2 linked regions of the Lytechinus pictus genome follow. Each later gene encodes a partner of the first gene's protein in a complex. Links are inferred from orthologs where the notes say so. Each region holds a gene or a part of one and is shown on either strand. Other genes may lie near its edges.

Region 1 (6,953 bases):
CCATTTTAAACTCAATTTTTGGAAACCATCTTGGATTTTTGGACACACCAAACAACTGGCTGTCCTTTTAACTTGTCCCGATGTACTACTTCAACATTCAAACCATTGAATAGAAACCAAATTAAAGCCATCTAATTAAGTTATAGATGAATTGTGGATCTTTTAGCCTACGGCAGCCATTTTGGGCGCCATCTTGGATTTTCCTGGCGCGGTAATATTCACTCTGACCTGTATCAATAAATTCGTTTACCCACTCGACCATGGAGTATGAATCGAATTAGGACTTTCGGGTGGATAATGAGTGAGTTATATCAATTTTCAGTGAATGGCGGCCATCTTGGACGCCATCTTAAAAATAACTACTTTGCCGTATGCGGATTTTGGTAGATTTTTAGTATGTTATTCCTGAGGGCAAATACTGCCAGAAACAGTTGAAAAATAATTTGTAGCAATTTGTTCCGGGTCCAACCATATATTGACCCGTCTAGAATGGATGAAATCCTTGACTTGTCTAGGGGTATTTTGGAGGTTTGCCAAATAACATCTTAGGGATAGGGCGAGGACTTTCTAGGTTATGCAGGCTTATAACACTGGGCTTGAAACCCCCTTTTATTAAGTCCACCCCCCGAAAAATCAAACAAGCATAACACCGAAAAATTAATCGCTTAAGTAAAACTTTAAAATATCATAACTTTCATATTTTACTTCTGATTTTGATAAAATTTTCAGCATATATTGTGTGGTTTTTCTCGATTCAAATAATCTTTTCCATGAGGTGGACTCGCCCTTTAAGAGTGTATCTCTCTCTCTCTCCCTCCGTCACATCGATCGACCCTCTTCAATTATCCTCTCCCCAGTTTGTTCATATAGGCAGCGGGGGGGGGGGGGGTCCTGTCCCCCCTAAATTTTAGGTTGGGGGCCGGACAGACCCCCCAAAATTTATGTTGATAACCTTTCTTGTTCTTTTTGCTTGTCAATTTTGTTTCCTGCGTCCCCCCTAAATTCAGGTGAACCCCCCTAAAATTGTTGTGGTCCGCCCTAAAATTCTGGTTGATAACCTTTTTTTTTTGCTTGTCAGATTATTTCTTTTGTTTTAATTGCATCCCTCCCTAAATTTGGGTTGATAACCTTTTTTTTTTGCTTGTCAGATTATTTTTCTTGTGTCACCCCAATAAATTTTTGGTTGATAACCCCCCTTTTTTTTGCTCCACCGAGACATTTTTTTTCTTTGAAGACATTCATCATCTCAAAATAAGTTCTGTGAAATTTCTGAAGTCTGTAAATCCGTTTCTGTAGCCTAATGTCTTTTTTACGTACTTTTAAGAAAAAAAAAAGTTCTTGGGAAAAATAATTAGATCTATTGTTGACGAGAAATATCACAAATTCACATGCAACAAGTTGCATTCAGTTAGCTCCTAACGTATAGTCCTACCCGGCCGTACATGTACCTATTAGCTTGTAAATTTTATTGTCCTTTAATTCAAAGGAAATTAACACAAATAAAAGATAAAATAATTTTCAGAATACCTTGTAGATCTAGTCCTTGACCGAAAAATCAGTCTATTTCGGTCACTAGGATCTGTGCTTCGCAAAAAATCATTTTTTTCAACTCCTCCGAAACGGCAGATTTCCAGTCTTTACTTAACTTAAGTCAAGTTTCAGAATACAGGCTAACACGGTCAGTATATTTTCGTGTCTCGTGATATTCTTCTGTCCAAACATGACTGATAAACTCATAAAACTTGGTGACAGTTATGAATATTAATAAACTGAATATTTATTTGAATCATGGTTTAATTTCATCACGCTTCCAGAGAAATCACAACAATCGATAACCCCCGGGCGATATACCCCCCCCCCCTGGAGTTTTAAAGTTTTGGAAACTTGCTCTGGTAATTTAGAATTACCACACATGTATTTGAGCACATGGGACTACATAAAGTCTACAACTATTCAGTTCACCAGCTTGTCTTAGCTGTGAAAAGTAATCCCCTTTTCTCTGTTTCCACGGTCGTCCCGATTAGTGCAATCATACGCGGCACAGGATGGCATCTTTAACTTTGTATCAGGTATAAATTCACATTAAAAAGTGCTGTAATAAGAGTTGATCTGGTAAGTATAATTAAGAATTGACACTATTGCCGTGAACCAGACTCTACTTCGATTTTGACTTTTTTGGGGGAACTCGGCGTGTGGGGAGGTAACAACTTCCGGTGCTTCAACACGGAATAGGCCATCCAATCAGCGTTATTGTTCCCATCCAGATAAGGGAGAGATCAGTGAGTTAGCCCAGTAAGAGGACCAGTTCGAGGACAGTCAGACCAGTAGAAAATACCAGTAAAGACCAGCTTGAATTGGATATGAAGACCAGTGCATGAGACCAGTAACAACCACCAGAAACAAGACCAGTATAAAATTCCAATAATTTAAGACCAGTTTAATTTTTAACTGGACCAGTAAAATTTCAACTGGATCAGTATGACCAGTTAGACCAGTAAACCGATGTTCCAATTTCCAGAGTACCAGTTAAAAATTTTACTGGTCTAACTGGTCCAGTGTAACTGGTTTTTCCTTCTGGGAAGTTAGTTTTGTGATAATATCTGTGTGATTTTGTGTATATTGTGTCAAATACTGGGAGCTTATTGCAATAAAGTTTGAATATATTTATTGGATCGAGGATTGTACCATTTCATCTTATAAATAAACCCCCGCTTCAACGTCAAACGCGCTCTCAGACGTAAAAAAAATATGCTGCCACAAACAAATCTTATCTAGATCTATAAATAAACACATTTTTACAGCATGGATAAATCTCAACAAAGGATTTTTATCAATACCATGAAACTAAAAGAAATGTTATCAAAATTACTGTCAACAATTTGAAAAGCAATTTGTTTTTATGAAACCCGTCCCTAGTATATCTCTATGCCCTAGCCCTATATAGGGGAAGATCGGACACTTCGTCGATTTTTGTACGCTCCCAAACGCCCGAAAAATGCTCCTGGGGAAGTATCACTGATCTCTCCATTAAGTTAGTGGAGAGATCAGTGGAAGTATGAGAGTTGAGTAAGTAAATCTTCGCATATCAAATATATGGGGGGAAATGAGAGAAGAGAGTTTGGAGAGGGCTCAATGGTGGCGCATGGGAATATTTCCACTTTTATTACCAAGAAACCTCTAAAATATATTCATCTCAAATTTAAGGTGGAAAAATTGAAGGAAAAAAAATTAAAATGTAAAAATCGTCTATTCTATTCCTTCATTTCTCTCACATGTTTTGTACACAACCATCTCGCGATACTCAAATTAAAAAAAGGTCATTAAGGCACACACCACTAACTATTTCCCCATAGACTCATGTGCTATATAAAAAAGAGATTTGAAAAAAAAAATCGCCAAAAATAATTAAGTCTTAATAATGACAGCATCCACACCTTTATCATTTGGTAGTTCATCCAATATCCTATTCCTTCAAACGCTAAAGATATGAAAAGGTGTTTTGCAGCATTTTTTCGCGCTACAGGGGCTCAAACCAAGACTACATGCATGCAAGGTTGCAGTCACAGTGCTCACAGGGTTTCTTGGGCAACTATTCAAGTTCCCATAAAATCCAGCATTGACAAATTACTTCTCTCCCATGGCACTGAAAAGATCCAGTAGTAATCCCCAGGGGCCGTGGAACCGGGGGGGGGGGGGAAGGCTTCAGCCCCCCACTTTTTTCCAAAACCGTATATACACAAACGTAAAAATTACCACATGATTGTGATTTTTAGCATGGTCTGCTTTTGGCTCAGCCCCCCCCCCCACTTTGAAAACCGTTCCGCGGCCCCTGATCCCTCTCTGTAGTCTGTACCCATGTGCAAAAAATTGTTCAGATATGCACCGTTGATTTTATATGAATATTTTTCAACCATTACGTCATGGTACGGGTTAAAAGGGGGATTCCCGAAATTGCCGGATCCCATGCGCCCATTACTAACTCAACGCTGTTGGGCGCTCTTCCTGAGCGTTTCCTGAGCGTTTCATTGCGCTCTTTACTGTCGATGTACGTCCAATCTTCCACTTGTAGTCACCTGACCAACTGTACCTGTAGGCTGTACCATATACCAGTACGGTACCGGTACAGCAAGCAGTATTGCCTTGTCGGAGTCTTGGTCATGTAACGGAAAGTCCAGTAGGCATTCTGTAAAACTGCATATTTATTCATTGAAATCTGATTTTCTGACGAGTATTCACATCAGCATCTATTTCAAGGGAGTATAATTTGACAACAGTTTTATTGAAATAAAGTGCGGACAAATATCAAAATCATGGTAAGTAATTTGAGCTTTGTCTAACCCGGAGCTGAGCTGTGACCTGGGGCTGGACTCGTCCGTGTAAATGTCTGTAGTGTACTATTAAGTACTGGTCTAGGCTAGTGCCCGCAACAACAATTGTCCATGGTAATGGCTCATGTATGTTAATTTAAAGTCAAAAGGAAACGTAATGAGACGATTGCTCCGCAAAGTGCAACAATTGCTCCACTGAAAACGATTGCTCCGCCGACATTTACTCCGCATGCCGCATATGTGACCATTACTCTGCCAACATTTGCTCAGTGGACATTATTTTAATCCGTAAAATGTGAAAAATGCTTCACAGACGTGACCGATGAAATTTGGATCTGGAACATTTTTGCACACCCAAAATGATTTTCAGTGTAAATTTTAGGCATTCGGCAAACATCGGGAAGGAGACATCTGTTCTGAGGAATTTTTAGACTTTTATTATTTTTTGTATCTTAAGGATGGGTGTGTCCAGTAAAAACTAAAACCAATTTTACATCACAATTTTTACTTAGTCAGCCTAGCATTGATGACACATAGTCATAGACAAACTGTGTATAAACTAGAATACCTTCATTCATCTAGGCTTGAGCAGATGATAATCATGATTATTTCTCATCTGGATTAAAAGCTGGCACTTACTAAGATAATTTTGTTTTCTTATACATGAATATGTTTGGCAAAATATCTCATTTTCATCCAATCTTTTCTATTTTCAATATTTCACAGAGTGGACCAGGACCTCATAATCTTGATAAAGTACCCAACCAGGAGGGATACCTAATCCTCAATGATAGTGGAGCAGTCATGGCTGTAAGAACCAAGAACTTCTGTAGTCTTTTCCACTATTCCTCCTCCCATACTTTCTCTATAGTGCCTTGGGCCCATTTCTGTATCCCATCCTCTTTTACTTTGGGATCTTTTTTTTTTATGTGAATAGTAAAAAGAAGAAATGCTAGTTTTGTAATCGCAATGTTGAGGGAAGTTTGCAGATGAGATTTTATGGTTTGGTCACAATTACCTAAAAAGAACTGTTTGCGTGAATAATGCAATGCTGTACTCTCAATTTATTACATTGATATTTTAAAATTACTGTAAATTATGCAGGCAAAAATATTCAATGTATTTAGCTAAAACAGCAACAAGGGATACCATACAAATGTTCTCAAACCTTTCTGTGAGATCTTCCGAAGAAGGCAGACCATTCATAGACTGTTCGTATTAAAGTTTGCAGCTTGGTCAGTGGTCTTGTCCAAGATTTTTTTTAAACGTTAAAGTATACATCCAAAGAAAATTCACGAAAGTGATGATTATAGACAAATTATATATGAATGGAAAGGTCTTGTCTTTTTATACACAAATATGTCACTAAAAAGTCTTATTGATGTCGTGGAAATGCAAGAAATGAAATTATTAGAGACCCTTCTCAGCCCCCCAGACCGCGATCAAATACAGTCGAGAATAATGACGTCACATGATGATCGACTCACTCAGCCGCTCTCTAGCTCTGTGCAAGCCAGCAGTACAGTGATAGCTGATTCACCTTCCTGGTCTCTATTTTTCTTTGAATTTACCGTTTTCTTCATGTATTGTGATATCCGAATTCTGTTTTCGACAACTTCAGACTATAAGGGAACCAGAACTGTGTTATTTTGCCCGGTTTTTATTGAATTCTGAACTGGAAAGATCGATTTTGTCCACTCGACAGTCTTCGTTGTGTTGCTCTACTAACTATTGAAAAACTCCAAGCTGCACGGTCCCATTCACTTGCTCCCGATGCATGTTGCAGGTTACGCTGTTTGATCCAGTCAAAAGTCAAGGTAAGCATGTTTGGAAACTGTACTTGTTCTGACGATGCATTCAGGTCAGATGACAGATACAGATCTGATATAAGTTTAGAATCATGCATTTTGGCGTATACTATTAAAATTAAAAAGTCTTTATTTTAGAAATAATGTTTTTGCACAATTCCAGCAGATTTTTTCTTCAGATTTCTAAAACTGGTCAGGACTCAGGCAGGCGATTAAATTAATTCAAATTATTTAGGAGCACTGGTATGGACCATGGCTGAAAATCTGCTGTTTCAGAGGAATGTTTAAGTTTTTATTATACACAGAATTATATCACCATGATGCCGATGTCATGAAGCCAGACAAATTTTCAGCAGTGATTACCCACCCAAGGGTTCATTACATGCCGCCGCGCACAGAAAAATCAAGCCATAGAAGTCGTGTGTTGTGGACCCAAGAAGTGAGATCCCAGCACGAGCGACCCACTAGTTAGAAATCCACTGCCAAACGCGGTTCGTGGTGCGAGGTTAGTATACTAATACTAACCTCGCAATACGTGTGAGTGGTGATTACCCTGATTCCTGGCCCAAATCACTCACACGTATTGCGAGGTTAGTATTAGTATACTAACCTCGCACCACGAACCGCGTTTGGCAGTGGATTTCTAACTAGTGGGTCGCGCGTGCTGGGATCTCACTTCTTGGGTCCACAACACACGACTTCTATGGCTTGAATTTTCTGTGCGCGGCGGCATGTAATGAACCCTTGGGTGGGCCAAAATTAGAGTCTGGTGTTTCTTTCTGATTAGAGTGTTGCTGCATATATGCATGCGTAATGC
Region 2 (7,554 bases), on another chromosome or scaffold:
TTTCTTACAATTCAACCAAAAGACTTTTGTATAAACTTTACACAATTACGGATTAGTGATATTTGATAATAAACAATCAGTATCATAATATGAATATAAAATAAATAGTGCTTGTATGTCTCTTGCACCCCATCTTGATCTGCCGCCATTCTCATTTTCATACTTTAATTTTTAGCGCTTTAAAAAAATTTTTTTTTAATTAATATCAATTTTAATTGGCCGTAGATTCTGCTTTTAAAGCTACATGTAGAAGAAGAAAAAAAGTTTGAACCACATAAAACTTTGCCAATTGCCAAGGCATTTTCAACCCAAAATATATTAAAAACTGAACGCAGTAGGACTTACCTTTAATAACAGGGACACCATCTCTATCTGTAATTACTATGGCTTCTAGCCCTTCAACCCTGAATATGATTCAGACAGAAATATGAAATCATCTTTCAAAATTTGACATTGGTAAATAGAAAGACTTGGGATAAATTAAAAAATTATTCATTTCAAATATTTTGCTACCAATCATCATTCACTTATGAGAAGGACATGTATTTCATCTTTATCATATACTGACATACAAATATTGGTCATAAAGAATGAGTTGAGAGGCTGCATTCATGTTGATGTGGAGGACTTTGCTCTAGACCCTTAGTCTAGCATGCCATTTTAGTCTGTAAATAAATGCAATATTTTTATAGAAAGGTGAAGGAATATTGGATATTTTTGCAATTCAAAAAGTTTTAATCAATATTGAATGAAAGAAAGATACAAGACATCTCATAGATGCAAATCATCTCATCAACAATGCATTTTTTTCTTTACATCCTCCCCATCTTTACACTTTTTGCCCTTGATCACTTGAAAATCTACCACTCCCATTAAAGACCAACCCCGATTACAAAAAAATCAAAATAATGTTTATGAAACAGTATTTGAATACTCACATTTGCAAAAGACTCCACAAATATCTCTTCAGTTGCTGCAACCAAAAATAACATTTGAAACAATTTTAAATGGAACCATGTTTAAACTTTTGAAATAGAAGCTGTTTTCATAGTTGTACAAACTTTCAAATTGTGATCAAGTGCTACAATTTTCAGTTCCTAATTTATATAAATTACTATGTCCCGCTATGCATATTAACGCAGTTATGAATAATCAGAGTAACTGATATATCAATTATACCTGTACAGGTACTTTTAAAGATTCCTGTCACAATTTGCTAAACCACAGCTTTAGACAAGAGTTTAAATTAAACCTGAAGCCTCTGTATTTGGTGCATTAGAGGTGTCATCCCAGAAAACAAGGATATCCTCATAAACAAACATCAATCATGTCTCGATAAAATGAGGTTGTCCTTATTACTGAAGACAGTTTTTGTTTTCACTTCCGCCTGTAGGACATACAGTATTAGGGAATTTGAGTGCTAAAAATAGATTCTGTGACCTCCGTTCCCACAGTTCACCGTCTATTTTTTACTAAATAATCTTGTTATAAACCTGATAAGTTTATATTGTCTATCACTCTTGATTAATGACGACCACATGATGACACTTGGCAGGTGAATGAACTTTCTAGATTTCTTATGTGGAGAAATCATTGTAAAAAAGACAATACCTGTAGTGTAAAACAACGTCTATATGTATAGTGAGTGATTGTATTACCGACCGGCCTTGTATTACCGAACGTGCGCATCATACGCATCAGAAAATAATTCCATATGCTCAAAAATTTGCAACATCCTTTCAAAGAGAACTTGAATAGAAAGATGATGAAAAATTGTCAAAAACACAATTTCAAAGTCTTAATATTCGAAAAACAATAAGATATGGTCAAAATAGCGCATCAGTGACTTTGTTGTTTTGGTTGTTTTCTCAACTTTTCCCATAGAAAACACACGTTCGGTAATACGATACCTTTTTCAAGTGACCAAAATATTTCACATGCGAAGAGGGGTCCGATTGGAAGCTAATATCGTAAATAGGAAAAACGATTTCGGCCAAATTTTTACATATTTATATTTTGTAGGTAATTGTGTATTCATGGTGAAAGTTTGGTGAATTTTATGAGAATAGTGTGTTTGATATGATTGAATTCATGAAAAGTGTTCGGTAATACGATCCACTACCATACAGGGACGATCCTCATTACATATTACAAACATGATGGCAAACAAAGAAAACCCCGGCTGATCCTGCATGTTTGTCATAAAAATTCTGTATTTTCCATAACGTTATATACCAATTTGGAAAGGTGGTAAGCTTCAATATTATTTGCTCTTTTGTTTTACTGCGCACCTTTTTGCCCATGCACATAATACAACTTACAAGAGGGAATTAAGCAGTAATCAAGGAGGGTGATCAAGCTTCCCCTTTTAGATGCTGTAGCTAAGCGCCAGTCAAAGTTCCAACATACGAGCGCAATGGCCGATATCTGGGCTAACGTTAATAAACGAGAATCGTGAATGTTTGATCTAGATTTCTGGACTAGAATCTAGAATCAACTAGGTCTAGGGCTAGGCTAGATCTATTATCATCTATATTTTTTAAAAGTTCACAAGATATTCAGTAGGTCTGGTGGATTTAAGCCTTAAGGCCGCTGAGCATAATACAGAATTTGGCCGAATGAATTATTCTAACTCTACTCTTATATGATTCTCAGATTTTGATGAAATTGTCATATTATCAGAAGACAGACAAATGTTAATGACTGAATATATCAATGTACGCTCTGCGACGATTTATATTACAGTCCCACGTATTTTACTATTTGTATGGAAAATGATTACTCACCTCAACCATCTTCACGTCTGCCAAGCTTTATTCGTCGATTCTCACAAATTTTCGAAGCACTGCTCGATTAACATTAAGTATTCACTTATGTGTCAATATTATTTCATTTCATAACTTAAAATTAGACATCGAATTTTACTTTCTGACTCCACAATACCTCTTTCACTACTTCAGCTTCAGTCGTGAGTCTCGTGATCTCTGCTGTATAGTCTGCAACAAAGCCACGTAACTTTTTACTTTTATTTTCCTCGGCTTTGAAAGTTTGGCAAAAAAAAGAAAAAAAAAGTGCCAGGATATAATTTGATATAAATTTTGTTACGTAAAACGATTTCAGATATTAGAATTAGTAAATCTTTGACTCTCCAATAGTCTGTACATTATATTTTTTTTTTTCAGAGTAGCATGAAAATACAGGGATGATCATACAATTTTACACGCTTTAACTGGAGGGGAGGGAATCCCACCATTATGTGCACTGCCTTTATTTCATCTTTGTAGCAAACATCTGCGCGTCAACCACAAAGTCCTATATAATCCGCCACTGAGATTTTTAACGAAGATCCACACAGTTTTTTTTTCATTATCTATTTATTTTTCTTTTACATATGCATCCCAATACTGGCAAATCATTCACCGCCAGTGTGCAATGCTCGATAAAAAAAGGCCTCAAAAAGCGATAATAACAAATAATGTTATGTAAGAGCGTAATTTACAACTCATTAAATACTTGTTCAACAGTTCGATTGTTATTGCATAAATTGCTTTTTTATAATTGGAAGATCAAATGGCAGTAAACCAATTTTATTTTTTATTCTTATATTAAATATGTGCGTCCATTTTTATAGTCTGAATTTGTTGACTCATTAGTGCAAACACTACATACGTTTATCCCCACCGTGACGTTGGATAGCCTAGAAAATCTTGTTGTTTTGGATCTTTAGAATGTAGCATAATTTTCTTTGGTTATTTCTCTATATGAGAAATTCAATAGGGGACAATAAGTAATGACTAGAACTAAGGTAAAGCGGGTGTTAAGGTGTTCCTCTCCGATCTCCACTTATTTCAGGTCTCATTGTACGAGATATATAAATGGCAAAAAGAAGCTGCTAAAAACTGCTTATCTAATAAAAGAGAGCCAATGGAGTAAATTAGAAAGTCAAAAGGGGCCTAAGCTTTCGATCCTAGCAGATATATAAATGATAATAGTTAAAGCAAGGAAGCAACATTGACTGAGTTTAGGCCAAATAACTTGGAGTAAATTGTTATAAACCCAAATGGGACATTTTTCATTTTAAGTAAATGTGTTTAACTAGACTAGAGAACCTGTAATACTTTATGTTGCATTTTAATCAGACGAAGGTTGAATCCTTTTGGGTATTTCAGTTATAGAAATACAAAGGCACGTATCTCCAGTCAAGTGAATCATATCTTGACCATATTTCAGAGCTCCTGTCTTACAACTGAACGTCTGCGTTTTAATTTTCAACAAATTTCTTCAAGCTCTATATACGCTGATTATCATATACATACCTGATATTGAGACATGATATTACATCAGTGAAATGAGCATGTACATGTATATTATTTTGTGACTCTAGCGCCATCTTTCTTTAGAAAGGACTGATAGGTCTTTATCATCATACATTGATCATTTTTGTAATGAATATAGCCTATATTAACCTTTCTTTCCCTTTATTAGCGAAAAAAGATCCTCGATGAAAGTTATTAACTTTCGTTATGATTCTTAACAAAAAAGTGGAAATGCAGAATTTTATTATAATACAATTTTTTTATATAGGATCACGTAATGACAAAATCACACAAAAGGGGGGGGGGGAGTAATCGACATGAACCAGAGAAAATGTATTGTATCCTTCCATTTTTTTCAGTGTGTGAATTTTTATGTTTTTTTTGTTGTTGAAATAATTATGAACAATTCATTTGTGTCAGTGAGATTTATCATCAGGGCAATAAAGTGAATTCTGAGTCCCTAAAAGGCAATGAGTGTAGTTTCGTATGATTGTATGATCAAATTGATTTTTTTTTTTCGTTGTGCAGATTTTCTTTTGTCCAGGCAGACATTCTCAATTTCCTCTTTGGAGACACCACGGAAATGGGGAAAACAATGCAAAGGCGATGCGGATTTGATTCTTTTATAGGTTTAAGGTTAAAATGTCCCCATAAAGCCACAAATAACACAAATAGTATTAAATGCAACAACATGAAATGTGAATAAAGAAAGCGGATAAATGTCACATATTTTTCAATTTGTCAAAATGAAGTACAAGACGAAAGTACTATTTTGGTTAACAGGGGGGGGGGGGCGTATGAACTGTCCTCAATATTTGCCAAAATTACTTTCCTATCATTTATAACCCCATTCTGTTACTGACACTGTCAGCCACCTATTTCTGTTTTGGAGAGAGCTCGAAAACTCAATCATTTCTTCTTTTTTTTTGAATATTTTTTTTTTTTTTTTTTTTTTTTTTTTGGGGGGGGGGGGTCAGATTTTATTAATAGAAGCTAGGGCTGTTTGGGAGTAATAACTTCTGTCAACAATATTGGTGAGTTTTGTGTGTCTCCCATCCAAGATCTCGTATCTTTCTTCATGGAATTAAAAATATGATTCATTAAATTTCACTAACTCATTTTTTAATGTTTTGACAATGAGATAATCAAATATGTTACAATTGCATACAGAAAGTATCAATCTCAAGTCACATAAAATGGTCTAGTCTTCTGTCCGGTTTTGGGAAGCCCTCATTATATGGCTGCAGGTGCATGACGTACACGACATTTGCACCGGTCTTAATATCTCAGAGGGCATATGGTTTGGGCTACAAGGATTGTAATAGAGTATTTGGTTCAGAATAATGTAAAGATAAGGATAAGAATATATTTAGTTTTGGAGGTTTGATTTCATGTTTGGCTTAAAGTGCAGATTTTCCATCGGAGCAATTGTCGCCGGATCAACTGGAACCGGCATGAATAATAATGTTTTGAACCGAATATCTCTGTGAACTTTACCCGACACAATTCAACAAACTTTGTTTTAAGAAAATGCAGTATACCATCTTTCGTGTTTGGCAGTCATCTGGTGTAAAGATTATAGTGTTTATATCTTGGCAATATAGTCATCGATATATAAACATATCGATGATCTCATCACCTTTCAGTATATCACTTTTCCGTTTGTGGTTTGAAAACCGGGAACTTTTTCAGTGTGAACATAAGATAAACTGTTAAAAATATAAATGATAGCAAAAAGTTCATTTCTTGAACCCCGTTGTTCCTCCTTATATACATAAAGGGAATAATTCTCACCCGAAACACAGGATTATTGTTATATCAATGGCGTATTTTTCCATAAACTTTTAGGGGATGAAATTTTGATGCGACACACAATGATTTTGAAATATACGAGTAAGAAGGCCCTCTAGGCAAAAAGGTAATGATTTTGACATAAAGATGAATGCTGTGAGAAGTTATTTGTCCCATGTATAAAAGGGTCTGCGAATGGGCAAAGAAAATAATTTCAAAACAGCCAGAGATGAAAGAAAAATAATACAATGATTTAATTGTACAAATACCGTGATTTTACAAATACATGCACTCTTAAAATAGTTGGATGTTGTTTGAAGGTTTGCATGGTGGCATAATCGCTGATGTGGTTTACGGTACACCATGTGGAGTGTTATAGAAGAAGAAAAGAAATGGATAGGCGAGAAAGTGAAAATTTGAGAGTAGAGTAATCTTTCTTGAATGTAGTCCTGGAAAGGACTGTAAACCAGAAGAGACTGATGATTTGAAAACAGCTTGAGTAGTATGATGGATGAGGAGATGCTGGCTTGAGTCGACGAGTAGAGATGATGAGTAGAAGCAGTAGAGAGACTCGACGTATCGGGCAGGTTGACTGTCAGAGACTCGACGTTTCGGGCAGGTTGACTGTCAGAGACTTCCCGAAACGTCGAGTCTCTCTACTGCTTCTTCTCATCATCTCTACTCGTCGACTCAAGCCAGCATCTCCTCATCCATCCTACTACTCAAGCTGTTTTCAAATCATCAATCTCTACTGGTTTACAGTCTTTTTCAGGACTACATTCAAGAAAGATTACTCTACTCTCAAATTCCCACTTTCTCGCCTATCCATTTCTTTTCTTCTACTATCCACTGTTTCTATAACACTCCACATGGTGTACCGTAAACCACATCAGCGATTAAAATAGTTGGGCAAAAAATGCCCAACTTTTAACCAACCCTGCATGAAAATAATTTCAAAACAGCCAGAGATAAAAGAAAAATAATGCAATAATTTAAATGTACAAATACCGTGATTTTTACAAATACATGCACTCTTAAAATAGTTGGGCAAAAAAATGCCCAACTTTTAACCAACCCTGCATGTCCACACAACTATTGGTTAAAATCTGCCCAAATTGGGTAATTAAACTAATAATTTGGTAATAAATTTGGTCAATTGGATAATAATTGCTCAGAATTATTTTTTACCGACATACATTACCCAACTATAGTGGACGGTATGTTGCCCAACATTTTAAATGTGTGGTAATTGACAAAGACCATGAGTAGAGATTGAATTTTGCCAAATTGGATTGGTTTATTTCGAATTGAAACCTCAGTGAAGTATATGGATTGAAACAATCGCCCTTTAAGCTCTTATACAATTATATTCCAACGCTTGTGGTCCGATCTACACATCTATCGCTATATGTAAAGATTTCTGTATAGCATATTTAGTAAAGGTGGG

Evidence for each region. The genes of interacting proteins can lie anywhere in the genome.
Region 2: ragulator complex protein LAMTOR4 homolog (region 1) and ragulator complex protein LAMTOR3-like share a complex: the UniProt entries of both Drosophila melanogaster proteins name them as parts of the ragulator complex. The link is inferred for Lytechinus pictus from reciprocal best matches to the Drosophila melanogaster genes Lamtor4 and Lamtor3.

The regions. Positions count from the first base shown.
Region 1 is NC_087260.1:995,922-1,002,874, reverse strand, and holds the start of ragulator complex protein LAMTOR4 homolog, read left to right. Parts: upstream 1-3,947; 5' UTR 3,948-4,310; coding exon 4,311-4,313; intron 4,314-5,054; coding exon 5,055-5,138; intron 5,139-6,953. UniProt on the Drosophila melanogaster protein: Regulator of the TOR pathway, a signaling cascade that promotes cell growth in response to growth factors, energy levels, and amino acids. As part of the Ragulator complex, may activate the TOR signaling cascade in response to amino acids.
Region 2 is NC_087251.1:16,375,459-16,383,012, reverse strand, and holds the start of ragulator complex protein LAMTOR3-like, read right to left. Parts: upstream 3,004-7,554; 5' UTR 2,796-3,003; coding exon 2,787-2,795; intron 974-2,786; coding exon 939-973; intron 405-938; coding exon 346-404; intron 1-345. UniProt on the Drosophila melanogaster protein: Regulator of the TOR pathway, a signaling cascade that promotes cell growth in response to growth factors, energy levels, and amino acids. As part of the Ragulator complex, may activate the TOR signaling cascade in response to amino acids.